Drosophila melanogaster: one gene and its partners. The protein of the gene in region 2 purifies or fractionates together with the protein of the main gene of each other region. This does not show direct contact. Each region holds a gene or a part of one and is shown on either strand. Other genes may lie near its edges.

Region 1 (4,855 bases), on a different chromosome or scaffold from region 2:
ATCAGTAACTACGAGCGCGGAAACAACTATAAGCGAGGTGGGCGATTCAATAACCGCAACACCTACGACAAACCGCCGCGATTCCAGAAACAACAGCAGCAACAACAACAGCAGATGCAACAGCAACATCAGGGAGGCAACCATAAAATACACAGCGATTCCTGGCGACGCTCAAACAATGCTATAAACAGTGGCTACCAAGACGAGAACTGTGCGTACAACTCGAATGGTCCGGAATCGAATAGTCGCAGCTCATCCAGGGCTCGCACTCTGCCGAGACCGCCAAAATCGCAAATGGATAAATCAGGCGGCTATAGGTACAATCAGAGCCCCACGCATGCAGGCGGTGGTCCTCGATTCCCGCGTTACAGCAGCCAAAGCAGTTTGGCCAGCGAAGCGTCCAGCTCGTTTGATCGTCGCCAACAGACATCGCCACAAAATCCACATCAGCATCAGCACCAGCGGCACCGCCATTTCACACGCCGCTCCCAGCCAGACATCCATCAGCCGCAGAACGAGGAGAACTGGCAGGGGCAGGCGGATAAGGGCCAACCACCATCCGGAAAGGAGGAAAGCGAGCTGGTGCGGAATGCCCAGCAGACCACTCAGTACATGAACTATTTGTCGGCCCAGAAATGAGTTTATACACTTTACGAAGTCATCCACATGTACGAAAATTGTTTTTGAAGTCCGTTTAGAAGTTATTTGTTTCGCCTTCGTATATGTTTCCTAATGGATGTGTATATCCACGTAGACTGTTTTCACATTATTTTGTCTTCAACTGAGCTCAAATGTTAAACCAATACAAAACAATTTAGACCAATCACAAAACAAATCCATCTCAAATCCAGGCTTAAAGAATATTAAGCATGCATGCATTACACATTGGAGCCACTAAATTTGTAAATACCAATTATATATATATGAATGTCTTGTGTAGTCCCACACAACCACGCCACATAAACACTCCCACACAAAATACAGTCACACACACTCATTTTTATATTTATATATACAAATTGCTTAGAAACTAAGTACAAAGTCAATGAAAAAACAAAAATAATCCTATTTCTATTGAAAAGTAAAACGCCTGTTGGTGAAATGTTAAAAGCATGTTGAACATATAAAAATTTGTATTTTTAGCTAAATATATACTTATATATTAAATGTCATGTTATAGTGCAGGTTCAGCCGATTTATTAAACGAATTATACAAGCTTACGTATTTTTAAAGCAAATTTTGTGAGGCCCTCTGTTGGAACAACAAAGCCAAGCCGGAGTGCAGAGAAAAACATGAATTGTAGAGTTATACGAGTAGTCTTATATAGATACTTAAACCTCTTTGTTTAGGTATAATCAATATGTTCGCAACATGCGTAGGTTCAAAACACTAATCAGCATATAAATAGCGTCTAACACATTTTTAATAAAACAAAAAAATTGCATTATCATTAATCAAACATTAAAACAAATTCTTTTGAAAACTTTTGAAATCACCAGCAGAATGTCATAGTCTTACCTCCGTATTTACATCACCTGATTGGATGAATGTATTTTCCGAATCCTTGTGGGTGACTCCCCTCGTCTTCTGCGTTTCCACTTTCCAGAACTTCTGTGGGCAACTCTCGGTTGTGCATACTTTACAAAAGCGATAGTAAGAAAGCTTTAAGACCGCAGTTTTTATTAATCTTGCCATTTTGAAGACAGTTGGTCCGTTTTAGATACAATATACAAAAAACCAAGATTTCCGTTTATCGTAGGCATTGATCAAGTCAAGGTCAAAATATTTTTAAACCCGTGTCTAGTCACAAACATCTTCACTTTCCAAACTATTATAAAGAATTGCATACTTGAGGGCAGCAAATAGCAGACTAACTTATACATATGTATATGGGGACTTTTATTTGTACATAATTTGCTGGCAGTCAAAACAAAGTTATCAATTTTTCGCTTGATTAAAGAAATTGGGGACAAATCTTGGCTTACTGATAAGCGAATTTAAAACAAGTACAGAAATAATAGATCCGATTTTTTTCAAAAATAGAATAAGACGTACATATGTATTTATAACACAGATTCATACAATAAGGCATAAGAGATTTAAGATATCAGCAGCATCATCGATCTGCCTGGTCACGTGGGGTGACCACCAGGACTTCGTAGGTGTTTACGCTCACCTCTTGACCATGATGCGGGATGTACATGACCTTGTGGGAAGGATGCACCTTGCCCAGACGCAGGATACCCTGGTAAAGACCACGACCCGTGTAGGTGACCTCACCCAGCTCGGAGTAGCCCGTGTTCAGAGCATCCCGCGGATATGTTCCATGCTGTCCGGGCACCCACTTGTAGTCACAGTCGTTGAGCACCAGGATCTCGACATCATCGGTCAGAGTTCGGGCGCTACAGCTGTGCGAACCGAAGGCAGCCTTCTTTTCCGGTACATAAGGAGCAGGCAGGAGATCGTCGTGGTAATATCCTCTGGCCACATACGTGGGCAGTCCGTCTTCGTTGGTGCCACACTGCACAGCTCCCTCGGGCGGCAGGTGGGCATCCGGTAAGCTGTCTCTGTCCAGATCAATGGGCACCCAATCCATGGCCACCTTGGGCAATTCGGTGTCATCGAACTCCGGGGCCTCGGCGAAGTTTAGGTACAATCGGTGCACGCGTCGTCGGTCGCATGGGTCTCTGCATTGGGGGCAGGTCCTGGACCTATTCAGCCATCGGGTGAGGCAGTCCTTGTGGAATACATGACCGCACCGTGAAGTTGAGAAAATTATGTCGTTGGCCCGGAAAAACTCGTTGCAAATTGCACATAAAATGTTCAGTGAAGGTGATGAGTCATTTGTGGGTGCAGTTTCTGCGATTTTTCCGCCGTTACCTTCCATTTCACTACTATTACTCTCCATAACTACGTCCCTATGGATACTGAGCTTTGAATATGTGTGGCTCTATTCTTCTGTTCCAAATTTATTTCACAACAATGAGCGGAAAACGAAACGATTCGTATCAACTTTCCTGCTTTATTAGAGATGACCTCTGGAGAATACCAAATATACTAGAAATACTGTTATTTTAATAAGTTTGAATCTTGATTGAAAATAATCCTTTAAATATCTTATAGCATTAAGTAAGTAACATTTATATTAAGTAACATTTATATTAGCGTCTTAATCATAACTCTATTTTGGCTAAGATAATGTACTGTGCTATCATTTTGTGGTTATCTACTGGATCTTTACTTTGTATTAAAGTAGCGTTTCAAACCTGCACCAGTACTTCGTTGGTGCCAACGTTAACCTCTTGACCGTGCTGCGGGATGTACATGACCTTATGGGAAGAATGTACCTTGCCCAGACGCATGATGTCCGTCCTCGTTAGTGCCGCACTGCACTGCTTCCTCGGGCGGCAGGTGGGCATCCGATAAGCTGTCTCTGTCCAGATTCATGAGCAGAGGGTGCTCGGGAAAATCCCTGTTATTCTTGTGAGTCAGAGGACAGGCTTTTAACCGGGTACTTCTGCGAACAAGTTCGTCGTGAATGCACCTGTGGCCCATTGTCTGTTCGGGAATTAGTTTCCGAATCCGGTATGGCGATGGGTCATTTGTGGGTGCTTCTCAATTTTCCATTTCTTTGCTGTTACCATCCATATCTGAATCCCTTTACACACTGAGCTTTAAATACGTATGGCGCACTTGTTTTATTTTAAAATTAACGGATACGAGCTTTATAGAGATGGACTTTAAGTAGTGCCAGAAATACTGTTATTTTTATATTTCGTAAGTTTACATGGATCTCAAACGCTTATAACATTTAATTTCAAACTTTTTGCTAATATTTAGGTCTCAAGGTTTCAGAACAATTTTGTTTTATTTTGTTATAGATTTTTACTAAATAGACTAATTAAAGTGTATGCCAGTTGTTAAACAAATGTATTTCATAATCAGGAAGTCAAATATGTAATGTATATATATAATAAATTTGGATTTTATAGCTAAAAACTAATAAAAGGTTCACCTGTGCTCAATAATAGTTTCAAATACTGTTCAGGTCATTTTTAACACAAGAATTTATAAATATTTAAAATTAGCTATCGATAAGTGGCACCAGGTACTTACGATACTCAACCGATCTGGCAACGACGCGCGGTACGTGGCTTCGGGACACGGAAAACAATTTTACGGGAAAAGCTAAACAAATTATGTACAATTCGCAATAAATCCGAAAAGATATAGGGACAAACACCAGACGGAGAAGAGGAGCACAAAAGGCTGCATGAACTGTAAGTGCCAAGGACCAGATACCCGTTTCTTTTTCTGCGTTCACCCGTATCCTTTCACTTTTAATTGCTAAGTTCAACATACAACTACAAATGGATATTCAGCTGATTTACAGCTAGTGCGGTTTCTCAATGGCTCAAATTATGTTTCCCAAACTTGCCGCCACTCCAATGGAAACAAGTTAATGTGCGCATAATATGCAAATTTTCTGTTTGTTTTGGTTTGCCAAAATACAAACAATACATACATATGTACGCAAGTACATAGTACATATCTATGTTTGGCACACACACTGACGCATTAACTGCGCTCTTTGTTTGCCGCCTATAAATAAACGCCAAAAAATGCGTACGAGATTATGCCATTTGTTGCTTTTCAGCTGTGCTTTGCGTACGTCAACAAAGCTTTATTATATAAACAAATACAAAACGGCAATCAGCTGTTTCTAACAAAAAATAAACGGTTGAATAGCCTTGTCATTATCATTGTTTATTGTGCTTTGCCATAGATATATGTATGTATGTACAATGGCCATTTCACTATTAAACGAAATTATTAGAACGGCTAATTAAACTC
Region 2 (5,396 bases):
GTGCAAAGTTCAGGCTGCTGCCTTCTCCAATTAGTTTTGCACTTGGCTGGCCTTGGGCTTAAAAACAGGCTTTGACAGTCCCTCAATCTTAGACGGGATTCACGGACTATGTCCGCCGTGAGGCCAGCCATCCAATGCGACAACGAGGGGAGTGGGTTTCATGAATGAGCTTTTATAAATATAAGAATAAAGCAGTTGTGCACGTTCGCATACCAAACTAATGGAATATTATCGCTCGGCCATCATTACTTATTCTGAACGGCCCCACCGGGGCACTGCATATTACCACAAATGTGTTTTCACCACCACACCCGACTAAAGCTAGCTATTGGCAGTGACTAAATCCTAATCGCTCTGCTAACACAGAAAGCACATACCGCCGCCATCAGTCTTGACTTCCTCAACTATAACATACCCGCTACTCAATTTCATAATCCTTTTTTTTTTGGCGGATCAGGGGCAGTCTACGAGGAAAGGGTATAAAAACAATACCTCTCCCTCTGGCACGTCATCACAAATTGTTTTCCATAAAAGCAGTAGATCCAAAAAAAAACCCCATTGTGCTCCACCCATGCTTTAAAGTAGATACACTGCTACGTGAGAAAAGTGCGAGTACATGGCTCCTCGCCTTTTAGATGCTATGGCATCGAACCAAGTTGTTGACTGTCCCAATAGCGAAATAGCTTGTGTGGGCAGTTACTCCGCGGCTACTGGCTGATGATTTTGATGTATTTAGCAGTGCTTATCGCGGTGAAACCTAGTGAACTTTGGCCAGAGCCGCCCTTGTGAAACTGGGAAATGAATTTGACGAAGAGACGACGGGTTACATATCTACTCAGCCACAACCCGAAGTTCTCCGTTGCTCACAGTCTGAGTGTTGATACTGCGTTACAGCTGCTAAAAGAACAAAGAAACCAGAAACCAACACAATGCGAAGCGCAGCTAAAGCAAACAAGTAAAACCCGCTAAAGCCAGGGAAGTGCGTAATAGCGACAGAGTACTCCGGAGAACTAGCTCAATAACACATGTGCGGAGTACTACTAGCCAGGACCGGAAACAAAAGCTCTAGGGTGAGGTGAGAGCAGGCGCGGGAGGTTCAAGATCCCGCTCTCGTGCTGCCGAGGAGTGCAGCTTGATATAGAGAGAGGTACTAGACAGTGGAAGTACTTACTGCTCCGGTTCCCCTCCTTGACGCGGTACGTCAGGTTGTGAAAGGCCAGGTCCACCGCTGGTCGCTTGGGGAGGTGCTGGAGCGTCTTTGGCTGGGCGGGTACTATTTGAGCTTTCAACTGACCCGCTCCGGCTGTGCCCAGTCTGTTGTCGTTCAACAGATTTGCATTATCGTTCTTAGTCATCTTGTCAATCAATCAACCAGGGGTTAAAAAGCAAAATGCAACCACTGTGTTGTGTGTGTATTCTTTGTAAACTTTAGCACTGACAGCAATACTGCAGCCCCTGCTGCCCTTCGTTCCCGTTTGGTTTTTCGTTCGCGTTCTCGATTCGATTCCACCACCGTCTGGTCCGGTGAGAGAAATTTTCCACCCGTCTGCTCGAAACGGTACTGCCGCTTCTCAAATATTAGGACTTCACTCGCTCGCGCCGCGATCGCAACTGAAATAAGCAATTGCGGCAGTGGAACAAAGGCAGAAATTTAGGCAACCGCTGACAGAGAGTGCCATCGCATACTCTCACAGCCCCAATGCTTTACGTCTGTGGTTAGAGTGGGACGACAATAGAAGCACTACTTCTGGTGGGGATTCTAGTGCGATTGAGAGGCACTGCGGGTTGGCTCTCTCTCAAAAGCCAGCGCATTCTTCTACTAAGTCTTGAATGAATTTGGGAAAAGCCTATAATCTGTGAATATTCCTCGATCGGCGGACCCATGTATCTCGAAATAAAATACCACTAACTAATTTCGAGGAAAGTCTTTACCTTGAGGAAGGTCTTTGATTCCCAGTCTTGTACTTTGATTGGTTTATCAGCCTTTTATAGTAGTTAGTCCTGGAAGCTAAGGTTCTGGCCATTGGTTTATTCAATCTAAGTTAAAAGTTCACGGCCTCGCTCATGACTCATGAGTTATTGGAGGGGCTTATCTATGGGTGTCAATCTACAGCTGATAGGAGTTTTCAATGAGCCGATAAGGGGTTGTACTTTGTCATTTCGTGTTTTACGTAAAAATAAGTTAATCGGTGCCGTAATTCGTTTAAAGGAGCTCTAGTACGCTTTTTAATGGTTTGCTTACGCGACATTTTACCTACATTTTGCTTTTCCCTACATTTAATGTGGCATGAGGTCATTTGTGGCTATGGCGTGGGACGACCTTACAACTTTGCCCCAGAAACAGTTTTGTGGTATATCTGAACGCAACAGTTAGATGTAGACATTGCTGTAAGGCTCCTTGTTGGCATGCTTTTACGATGCTCCGGTCTATATTTTGCCCAATCTAATTGGGATTTACGGATTGCACTGGGAGTGCTAATAACGTTTAGTTAAACCGGTTATTGTATATATTGGGGCAAGTAAAAACGTAATGAATTGACCAACAAAAGGTATTTTCCCAGTACAAACCGCAATTTGAGATATTATTCCTAGTTCGGTTTCTGGGTTCAAATCAGCATACAGCACTAAAGTTATGCAGTCGCCTTAAGATATGAAAGAATAATGTATTTCCACTGGCAATTTCCCGATGACTATTGGCTTGGAAATTTTTTAAAGCTTGTGGCTAATCAAGTCACGGAGATGTCAACAATTGGCAGGAATTGCAAACCGGTTGTTCTACACTTGTTGATTTCGTTTTATAAACGGGGGGTGTGGTATATTAGATGTGCCAACTAAATGTGATGCATTTTGCTTGAGACCCGCCTGATTCGGCTACTTACAGATTATTATTTTCCAAAAACTGCTTCCAACTATACTGGTTCATGGTGCCGTAACTCAACAGCTACTGAAACCATCGCTTTGAAGCAACAAGTTGCCTTCGCGAAAGCTAAGTCGCAGGCAATAACGAATAGGCAGTCGAAACCCAAACCGAATATAAGAATTAGCGATTTTGTATTTGGTTGTTGCACATCGGGTGTAAAAATATGTACACTCTGCTGGAGGGAAACTTTCGTAGTTTCTTGCGAAAACTGAAGCCGGCCAACTAGTGGAAACGATGCCACGTAACTGGAAAAGCGTAGACGGCTATATGGGAATTACTCGGGTCTATGGTGAAAAGTGGCACTCACACATTGGCACATAAAAGTTTCCTCTGTTTTCCTTGTTTTCTTTGTTATGCCCACCTGAAGCTCTCCCAATATGAGCCGTCCAAAAAAGCTTGCTTTCCCGCCAGAAACAGAGTTTTAGCTTTATTTTAACATTAATCCTATCTGAAATATACTCATCCGTTCTTCAGTACTTTCCTCTAAGTTACGAGGCAACCAACAAATAATTGGAAGACATATCTGTGGTCTCGGCTTTTGTGCGACAACATGCCATTATGTAGGAGGGAGTGGGCCAATATGCGTGGCTTGATGAACGACGGCCTAGGACTAAGTATAATCTGTAACAAATAAATATTGAATATCCTCCACACAGGATATTTAGATCAGAATTTACATAGCATTTAAATTTCAACGTTTTACATACTCAGCCTAAAAGTTGGCTACACTGTGTACTTATACTGCTATTTTAGTTATAGTTTTAGTTAGATATATTTTTAATATTCAGAACGTCGTATGCGAGACCCAAGCCAGGAATAGGAACATTTAGTACCGAATTTACATATTATAAACAAATCATTATTGCTTCATTTAAGGCTCTATTAATGCGGTCCACCACAGAGTTTATCAAATGCCAAACACGAATAGACACAGCTGATACGGTGCTCCTTGCATTCGCTATATTTAATTGTATATAGTGAACTTTGTACCAGGCGTGTATTCAAAACAATCAGCCAAAGAGCAAAATGGTGGAGGTTTTTACGAAGAGATTACGAGAAATGAGAGAGTGTTGTAATAAGTAGTACTGCTGAAATGCATCTGCATACTGCGTAACCTATCATAGTTTCTGAAATGAATTTATCAAAAATGTAGAACTTAATTTGTGGGTTCTAAAGTGGGCCATGCACATAAATGGTGCAGGTGTTCTACGATGAGAATTACTAAAAACTTTTGTTTTTCATTTGGCGCTAATGCAAGCTACAAGTGCTCGAAATGCATAAATGAGCTTATAGCGTGTGCTCAGTAACGGGGCTTTTGGCTACCCGACTAGCCTCGAAACATAAACATTATGGGTCGCATTGCAGGTCTCTCTGGCTAGTGGCTGCGGAGCGGGTGCTCATATACCGCCAGTTTTGAATGCTCTCTGGGAGGCCTTTGTCTGTGCGTCGGCGTCGCAAACGAGATAAAGAAAAACCCGAGGCGCGCGACGAAACAACGAAAAAAGTGAATGCTGTCGCGCTAACTGTGCTCACAAGACTTCCAAACATCGAATTGGTCGGGTGTCCCCAACAGTCGCTCCGCAGCCCCTGACAGAAACAGAAACGAAAACCGAAAGTACCGCAATCCAAAATTACCAAAAGACCTGTCCAACCAGCGACTGTTTAACCAATCATATAACTGTAAAGTGGAAAAACGAGCAGAGCACGGTAAGTTGTGCGGAAGACTGCGTCTTCACTGGAAAAGTACCCCTTTTTTAACTACCTCGGAAAATCAAGTGCAAGGAAAATAATTACATAAAAATTCATGAGAAAAGCAGAGTGAGCCAGCATGCCACCAGCCCTTGCCCTTCCTGCGCACGTCCTCACATTCGCCAGCAATACATAACTAACCGTGTCCTTTTGTCCTTCTCGCCGACTCCAATCCAAGAACCAAGATGGCACTACGCGTGGCAGGACTCTTCCTGAAGAAGGAGCTGGTGGCTCCCGCAACACAGCAGCTGCGTCTGCTGCGTACTGGCAATACCACCCGCTCCCAGTTCTTGGCCAACTCCCCCAACACGGCTCTAGACAAGAGCATTCTGCAGAGGTACCGCAACCTGGAAACGCCGGCCAATCGAGTGCAGGCTACTTACTTATGGATCGACGGTACCGGCGAGAACATTCGCCTCAAGGATCGCGTTTTGGACAAAGTACCCAGCTCCGTGGAGGACTTGCCGGATTGGCAGTACGACGGCAGTTCCACCTACCAGGCCCATGGCGAGAACTCGGACACCACGCTCAAGCCACGCGCCATATATCGCGATCCCTTTAAGCCGGGAAAGAACGACGTAATTGTCCTGTGCGACACCTACAGCGCCGACGGCAAGCCGACGGCGTCCAACAAGCGTGCCGCGTTCCAGGCAGCCATTGACCTAATTAGCGATCAGGAGCCCTGGTTCGGCATTGAGCAAGAATACACTTTATTAGACGTGGACGG
Region 3 (6,715 bases), on a different chromosome or scaffold from region 2:
TGCCACCCGAAAGTGGGTTTGCCCACCATTCAAACCATTCCAAGCGATTCTACAATTCTATTCATAGACTGCTCTGCGGCTCTCTCGATTGCCAGCAAAATGGCAAACAAATCGTTGCAAATATTCCACCAACGTGGCGTATGCGCAATTTTTGCCCAAACTAGAAGGAGGGCGATAAGTATACATATATGTACATATATATGTATATCTGGACGATGTATATATTCATATATGTTTATCTGTAAATGTCTAGCACACATATTTCATGGCTGAGTGTGTACGCCCCGTTGTTGATTTAATTCCACATTTGCCAAATAAAATTTGCATCTTTCGTTGACAAACATCACACTTATGGGCATACCAAATCCGATTCCATGCCCCAAAATCAATCCGAGATGGCCTTACAAGATGTGGGCGTGTATGTGGGCATCGCTCTAATGCGACGTGGGTGCAGTAACTATGCATTTCCAGGAACATTCACTTTCGACCATGTTCAATCGTCTTAATTACCGACTGGCTTACGTAAACTTTTCTTCTTGCTAATTGATTTTCCATCGAATGAGTTCTCGAAATCAAAGGTCTTCGTGCACTTTTAAATGACATTGTACATTTCCTCTTAATTAAGAGTCGATTATGGCGGTAATCCGAACTATTTGCCAGTCATTTTGTGGGGTTTTCAATTTTATTGGAATTTATTTATACAAAACAAACTCAAGATTAAAATCTATAAGCAAACTGACTAATATAAACACAAGCATTGATGGCAGTTCTATCTATTATATAAATTGTGTAAATACCTCCATGCAGATAACCAGCAGTAATAAACCAAGAATTTAAGCCTGATTATTGCGTTTCAAGGCTGGGATTTGCAGATAAATAATATGAATATCTCAAAAGTCTTTATACCCCTTTAATTACGCACCAAATTATGCATTTGAATTCTCTAGAAATGAGTACCAAACAACCCATAAATTCAAAATCAATGCTTATTGTACATCTATAAGTATTTTATATTTATTTTGGAATTTATCATAAATTTTGCTTGAATTTTAAATACACATCCATAGATCGTCATTAGCTATTCTCAATTCAGTTTTAAATAGGTCGTAACATAATAAGTTTGACTTGCAAGCAAAACAGAAACGAACAAAATGTATCTAAAAAATGTGAATACTTAAGTGAATCAATATATTTTATATGCTGTCTTCATGTACATAGATAATAGATAATATATAACAATTACGATTACAAAAAAACACGACATTTTATGTGAGTGCAGGACAGTGACGGCGGAAAAAGGGGGTCGGGACATGGAACAGGGGGGAGGGAGGAGAGGGGGACAGTGGAGCAGTGGGCGTAGGAGCACAGCTTGGATGAAAAATGAATTTCGCTTTCTTGTTGTCTCTCTGGTCGAGGCGACGAGAGATAAAGTTCTATAATGTAAGCGTTAAATATATTATTTATATTATGTTTGTTATATATATAAGATCGTATATATGTGAGTGTGTGTGTGTGTGTGTGTTGCGTGTGCGAGGGAGTGGGGTTATTCCTATATCGTTTTAATGACTTAAAGAACTAGAAAACATCATCATCAGCAGCAGCAGCAGCAGCATCATCGTCATCAGTGTCATCCCTTTCGCCTGATTAATCTGGGTTAGTATCAGAATCGAATTATTCCACAGGACAGAGACAGACACACAATAATTTAGTCTAGATACTTGTATTTGGAGGCATATATCGTGCGATTAAGATGTCCTGTCTACTTGATCCGCTGCAGCTGCGTGTCGAAGGCATCGTGGGCCGCTTTAGTTTTCCTTTTGTTTTTTTGTTTTCTCCTTTTTGTTTGGTTTTTTTTTCACTTTCAGTTTAGTTCCAAGTTCGGTTTTGTTCCGTTTATAAATATTGTTTATGCATTGTGTGTTGTTTCTGTGTTATCATTACAGTAATTATTTGTAATAAAGACGACGGCATTCTAGGAATTGTTTATGCACAAAAGCAAATAGTTATTAGTTCCATGCTCCAATGCTAGCTTTAGTTTCATGTTTTTCTTTACTTTCATTTCGTGTTAAGCTATTTCAATGTTTATTAAGTGTTCTTTCTCCATCTCCCTCTCTCTGGCGCGGCTATCATCATCTTTTTCTGTCCCAGTTAAGCAGGATGAGTGCTGCTTGAGTTCGTGGTTGATTGATTGATTCTCCTTTTGATTTGATTAGATCCCCGGAAAGCAGAGTGTCACTTAGTACCTGCTGTTGTTAAACTGCGAATTGATGGCCGTATTAACGGCCGAGGAGGCTGCTTCCTGGACGTGCTGGTTGCGCAGAAACTCGGTGGTGAACTCCGCCTGGGCCTTGGCCATACTGGCCCCTGTGCTGCGGTAGATCGAGTGAATCTTTGTGATCATCAGCACATTGGCCACGGCCACCGCTGTGAAACAGAATGCCACGTTCAACAGCAGAATGCCGACGATAATACCCGACGCTTGCCCATCGAACTGCCCGATGGCCGTAATAAAGCCACAGTAGCCCATCTTGTTGAAGCCCACCGCCTGCACAATCGAGTACAGCGTTTGAAAGAAGTAGATGAAGAAGAAGACCATGAAGTTGAAGCTCGAATCGTTGCGGAATGCCTTGTACGCCGGTCGGAACCTGAAAATTAATCACACATCATCACATTATTCATGTTTTAAGAATCTTCCAGGTATAAACTCACCAGCAGACATAGGAGGCGGGCGAGAAGAGCATCGTGTAGAAGATGGCCAGGAAGAAGGTCTCGAATTCGCCAGCGTGGAACAGCAAAATTAGACCGCCTATCACGTTGGCCAACAACGTCATGGTGTAAACTGTCGGAGAAAGTATTCAAAATAGACACATACAATCAGCATAATGCTATAATCTGTAGGGGAAAGCATTATTATATACTATATACTATGCATGCAGTAAATAATGCTAGAAATGCATTTAAAAACTATCTTAATACTGATAACATGTAAATCAAACAAATTTCATGCTCCCCTCTTTGCAAGCATATTCTGCACAAAGGCACGCACACATCCAAGACCATTAGCCATTCAGCTATATCTGATTAATAATGGCATCGGCCTGTAGACGACACGCGATGACTAATTCCACAACCTATGGCACCGCTTATCAGCGAAAACATGTAGAAAACACAGCCATAAAGAACCAATACTCACAAATCCAAATGTAATACAATCGCTTGACCAGTTTCTGGAACTCGGGCGGTATCTCCACCTCGAAGTCCTGGTAGAAGCACGGCTTTACACAAAAGTTATCCGGCAGCGGTGGCCAGTTGTTCAGCTGCGGCACATTGCCCTGTAGCTGCTGCTCGCGGCGGTCCAGTTCGGCGGCCTTGCGGTCCAACTCCTCCTGCCGGCGCTGGATACAATGAAAATCATATGATTATCGACTGTTTTATATATACATTTTGTATGACTTAATAAATTGGCCGTATATGGTAAATACTTTAAATCTTATTCATTTACATATTTGGGAAAACAAAGGCGAAATTCAATGATAGGAATTCACATCCAAATCTTGAGTTTGTTAAACTTCTATCTTAACCTCAGGCATTTGGCCTATCTATAGGAAATATTCTGTACAAGAATAAAGTGCAAACTTAAGCCTCCAAATCATATGTATTTAGATCTACTAACTAGTATTTCTTGAATTATTGTGTAGGGCCGAAGAAGCCAAGTAAATCAAGAGAAACCGCAGTTTGCACAGTGAAGACTCGGCGCGGCAGCCGCTTCTAGTCTCAACCAGATAAATGCTCCAAAGCGGATATATCGTTGGCAGATCGAGATAAGCCCGCTTATCTTTCTGACTCTTGATGGAGAGTAAAATGTGATATGCCTGCCCTAATCCCGGCACTCTAGCAAAGTGATTACTGTACAGACTTTTAGGGCAAACTTTTAGTGTAACTGTGTGGTGTGGTCCATTTCGATTGTTTCCGAGTATTTGGATGTACATATGCGGTTTTTGGAGTATTGCGGATGTGGCCATGCCGGCACAGCACACCGCAGAGTGCTCACTGTTGTGTGGGCGGTAACGCGAGACGACCGGCCAAGTGGGTTACCTGCAGCTCCTCCGAGGTGATCTGTATGCTGGTGCTAGGCGCCGAGGCGCCCAGGGAACTGGTCTGCGGGGGCGGAATGTTCTGCGATAGCGGCTGGACCACCGCCGCCGTGTTCGTTGAGTTGATCTGCAGCTGCGGCTTGGCCTGCTCCTCGAATGGATTGTAATCCTCAAGAGAGACAAGGGCGGCGCCGCTCTGGAGTCGTCGTGCCTGCTGGATGGCGGGGTCCTGCGGGGGAAAACCGGGAAATCCCAATCAGAAACCAATTCATTCAACATATGTGACGAATGCACCCAACACACACACACACTACACTCACAGGCACGCACACCAACACCCCACCTTTGCGTACGTGTGCGTGTGTGTGCGATGGGTTTTTTCTTCGGCTTCCGCGCTCTCTCTCCTAGCTCTTCTATCGCCTCACCGCAAACGGATTGTCCAGATTGGGCTCCCCGAAGGGATTCTCGTCGAGACCGGAGCCGGACATGGGAATTCTACTTTGGATACGGCTGTTCAATGACCAGAAAAACGCACTGACTCGCACTTTGCTTTTCGCTGTGTATATTTTCCCTAAGACTCTGCTCAGTTATCGATGTCGGTTTTAGTGATGGTTCAGCATCGATAAGCTTTCGTTGGGAATCAAAGTGTAGGCCTCAAATATCGAAAGAATTACTTTAAAGAATTAATGTTATTTGAATTACATATTAAATTCATTTTGGCAGAAAAACTTATTATTTAACACATTTAACATTAATCTAGAATTCTGAAAAATGTGAATAACTGGTATACAATGGTCTGATTTTTTAGGACCTATTAATACATTTTATTAAAATGATAGCAAAAAGAAAAGATTCTATATACAATTGGATGTAAACCAGCAGTTATCATATGAATTTTAAATTTAAATGGCAACAATCGTGCCAATCGGAACTGCTCCAGCTGAACCAGCTGCGTGGAACCAGTTCCCATCCCTGGGGCCGCCATTCCGCAATTGGAATTCTAGTGTCTTGGGTTGCGATTCGATTCATTTACCGCTGCCCGCGTCTCCAATTCGGTTGTGTGCGATTCTGTCTGCTCCGCATCCAAGTCAAACATCCAATCCTTGCAAGAATGTCGAAGCCCAGCTACAAAGTCGGTGAGTTGCGTTATAAATAAACCCAAACGGATGGCAAACTCTCGAATCGAATCTCCGGCCGGCAACAGGCGACATGTGCGGGTGAATTGCATCTATTCATGAGCACATGTTTCTGAGGTTAAAAGAGAGACAAAACAGAGGAGAGCACGTTGTTGCTGGGGCAAAAAACGTAGAAATTCAGACCGTATGGTGTATAAATCAACAGTGCCTGCTTATCTGACCCTATCTCCCTTTTATATCCCACTCGACAGCCGATATCAGTCTGGCGGAATGGGGACGCAAGGCGATCATTATTGCGGAGAACGAGATGCCCGGTCTGATGGCCTGCAGGAAGAAGTACGGCCCATCTAAGCCCCTCAAGGGCGCCCGCATCACCGGCTGCCTGCACATGACCGTCCAGACCGCCGTGCTCATCGAGACCCTCGTCGAACTGGGCGCTCAGGTGGGTTCAGTGCCTCTTTGGCGCTCTAAATGATTTTATGCATCGTACCACCATTCGAATTGTATGCCCAACTGTAGGTCTGAACAGTCGGGATAATACACAAAGATAGCATCATTTCAATACTAAAAACCATTTCAAAAACCATAAAACCGACCAAAATTCCGTAAGGAAATTGTAAATTAGGTAGAAAGATAGGTATCTCCAAGCATTGTCCAAGGGCTGGTCCCTTATCACCTTTGGTTTACGCACCAATTTGAATAACAAAACTTTCGTTTAACAGCAGGGGGGCAAGTTCAAGGCGCCCAAGATAAGACCTCCAGATTGTTATTTCCTCTGACGCAGCACCATCTGCTTCAATCCTCGCACATGGCAACTATTTTCTGCCAAATGCTGATGTCCTGAAATACATAGATTTCCTGATATAGATCAATCCTATATGCAATGCAAATCAGTTTGCAAATATCTATATAATTTAGGTTCCTTCCCATCCACATCTCAACTTCAACGCATGAACTACATTTTCATTCTTTTATCCAGGTCCAATGGTCCAGCTGCAACATCTTCAGCACCCAGGATAATGCTGCCGCGGCCATCGCTGCCACCGGCGTGCCCGTGTACGCCTGGAAGGGTGAGACCGATGAGGAGTACATGTGGTGCATCGAGCAGACCTTGGTCTTCCCCGACGGCCAGCCCCTGAACATGATCCTGGACGATGGCGGCGATCTGACCAACCTGGTGCACGAAAAGTTCCCCCAGTATCTGAAAAACATCAAGGGCCTCAGCGAGGAGACGACCACCGGTGTCCACAACCTGTACAAGATGTTCAAGGAGGGTCGTCTTGGCGTACCGGCCATCAATGTCAACGATTCGGTGACCAAGAGCAAGTTTGACAATCTGTATGGCTGCCGCGAGTCGCTGATCGATGGCATCAAGCGGGCCACGGACGTCATGATCGCTGGAAAGGTCTGCTGCGTGGCCGGATACGGTGATGTGGGCAAGGGCTGTGCCCAGGCACTGAAAGGATTCGGTGGTCGGGTGATCGT

The links.
Region 1: the proteins of CG3164 (region 2) and CG10916 purify together in Drosophila melanogaster (affinity purification with mass spectrometry, with the first as the bait; one large-scale study listed by BioGRID). This does not show direct contact.
Region 3: the proteins of CG3164 (region 2) and Scamp purify together in Drosophila melanogaster (affinity purification with mass spectrometry, with the first as the bait; one large-scale study listed by BioGRID). This does not show direct contact.

Annotation. Positions count from the first base shown.
Region 1 is NT_033778.4:18,171,864-18,176,718, reverse strand, and holds CG10916 (uncharacterized protein), read right to left. Parts: upstream 3,051-4,855; 5' UTR 2,910-3,050; coding exon 2,118-2,909; 3' UTR 994-2,117; downstream 1-993. Other genes in the region: CG5726 (uncharacterized protein), read left to right, coding at 1-639.
Region 2 is NT_033779.5:127,629-133,024, forward strand, and holds the start of CG3164 (uncharacterized protein), read right to left. Parts: upstream 3,164-5,396; 5' UTR 2,924-3,163; coding exon 2,880-2,923; intron 1,618-2,879; exon of another isoform or gene 1,356-1,617; coding exon of another isoform or gene 1,315-1,355; coding exon 1,172-1,314; intron 1-1,171. Other genes in the region: Gs1 (glutamine synthetase 1), read left to right, coding at 4,855-5,396.
Region 3 is NC_004354.4:15,445,186-15,451,900, forward strand, and holds Scamp (scamp), read right to left. Parts: upstream 4,699-6,715; 5' UTR 4,583-4,698; coding exon 4,520-4,582; intron 4,324-4,519; coding exon 4,096-4,323; coding exon of another isoform or gene 4,048-4,095; exon of another isoform or gene 3,674-4,047; intron 3,396-3,673; coding exon 3,194-3,395; intron 2,840-3,193; coding exon 2,710-2,839; intron 2,646-2,709; coding exon 2,237-2,645; 3' UTR 994-2,236; downstream 1-993. Other genes in the region: Ahcy (adenosylhomocysteinase), read left to right, coding at 5,206-5,230, 5,482-5,672, 6,210-6,715.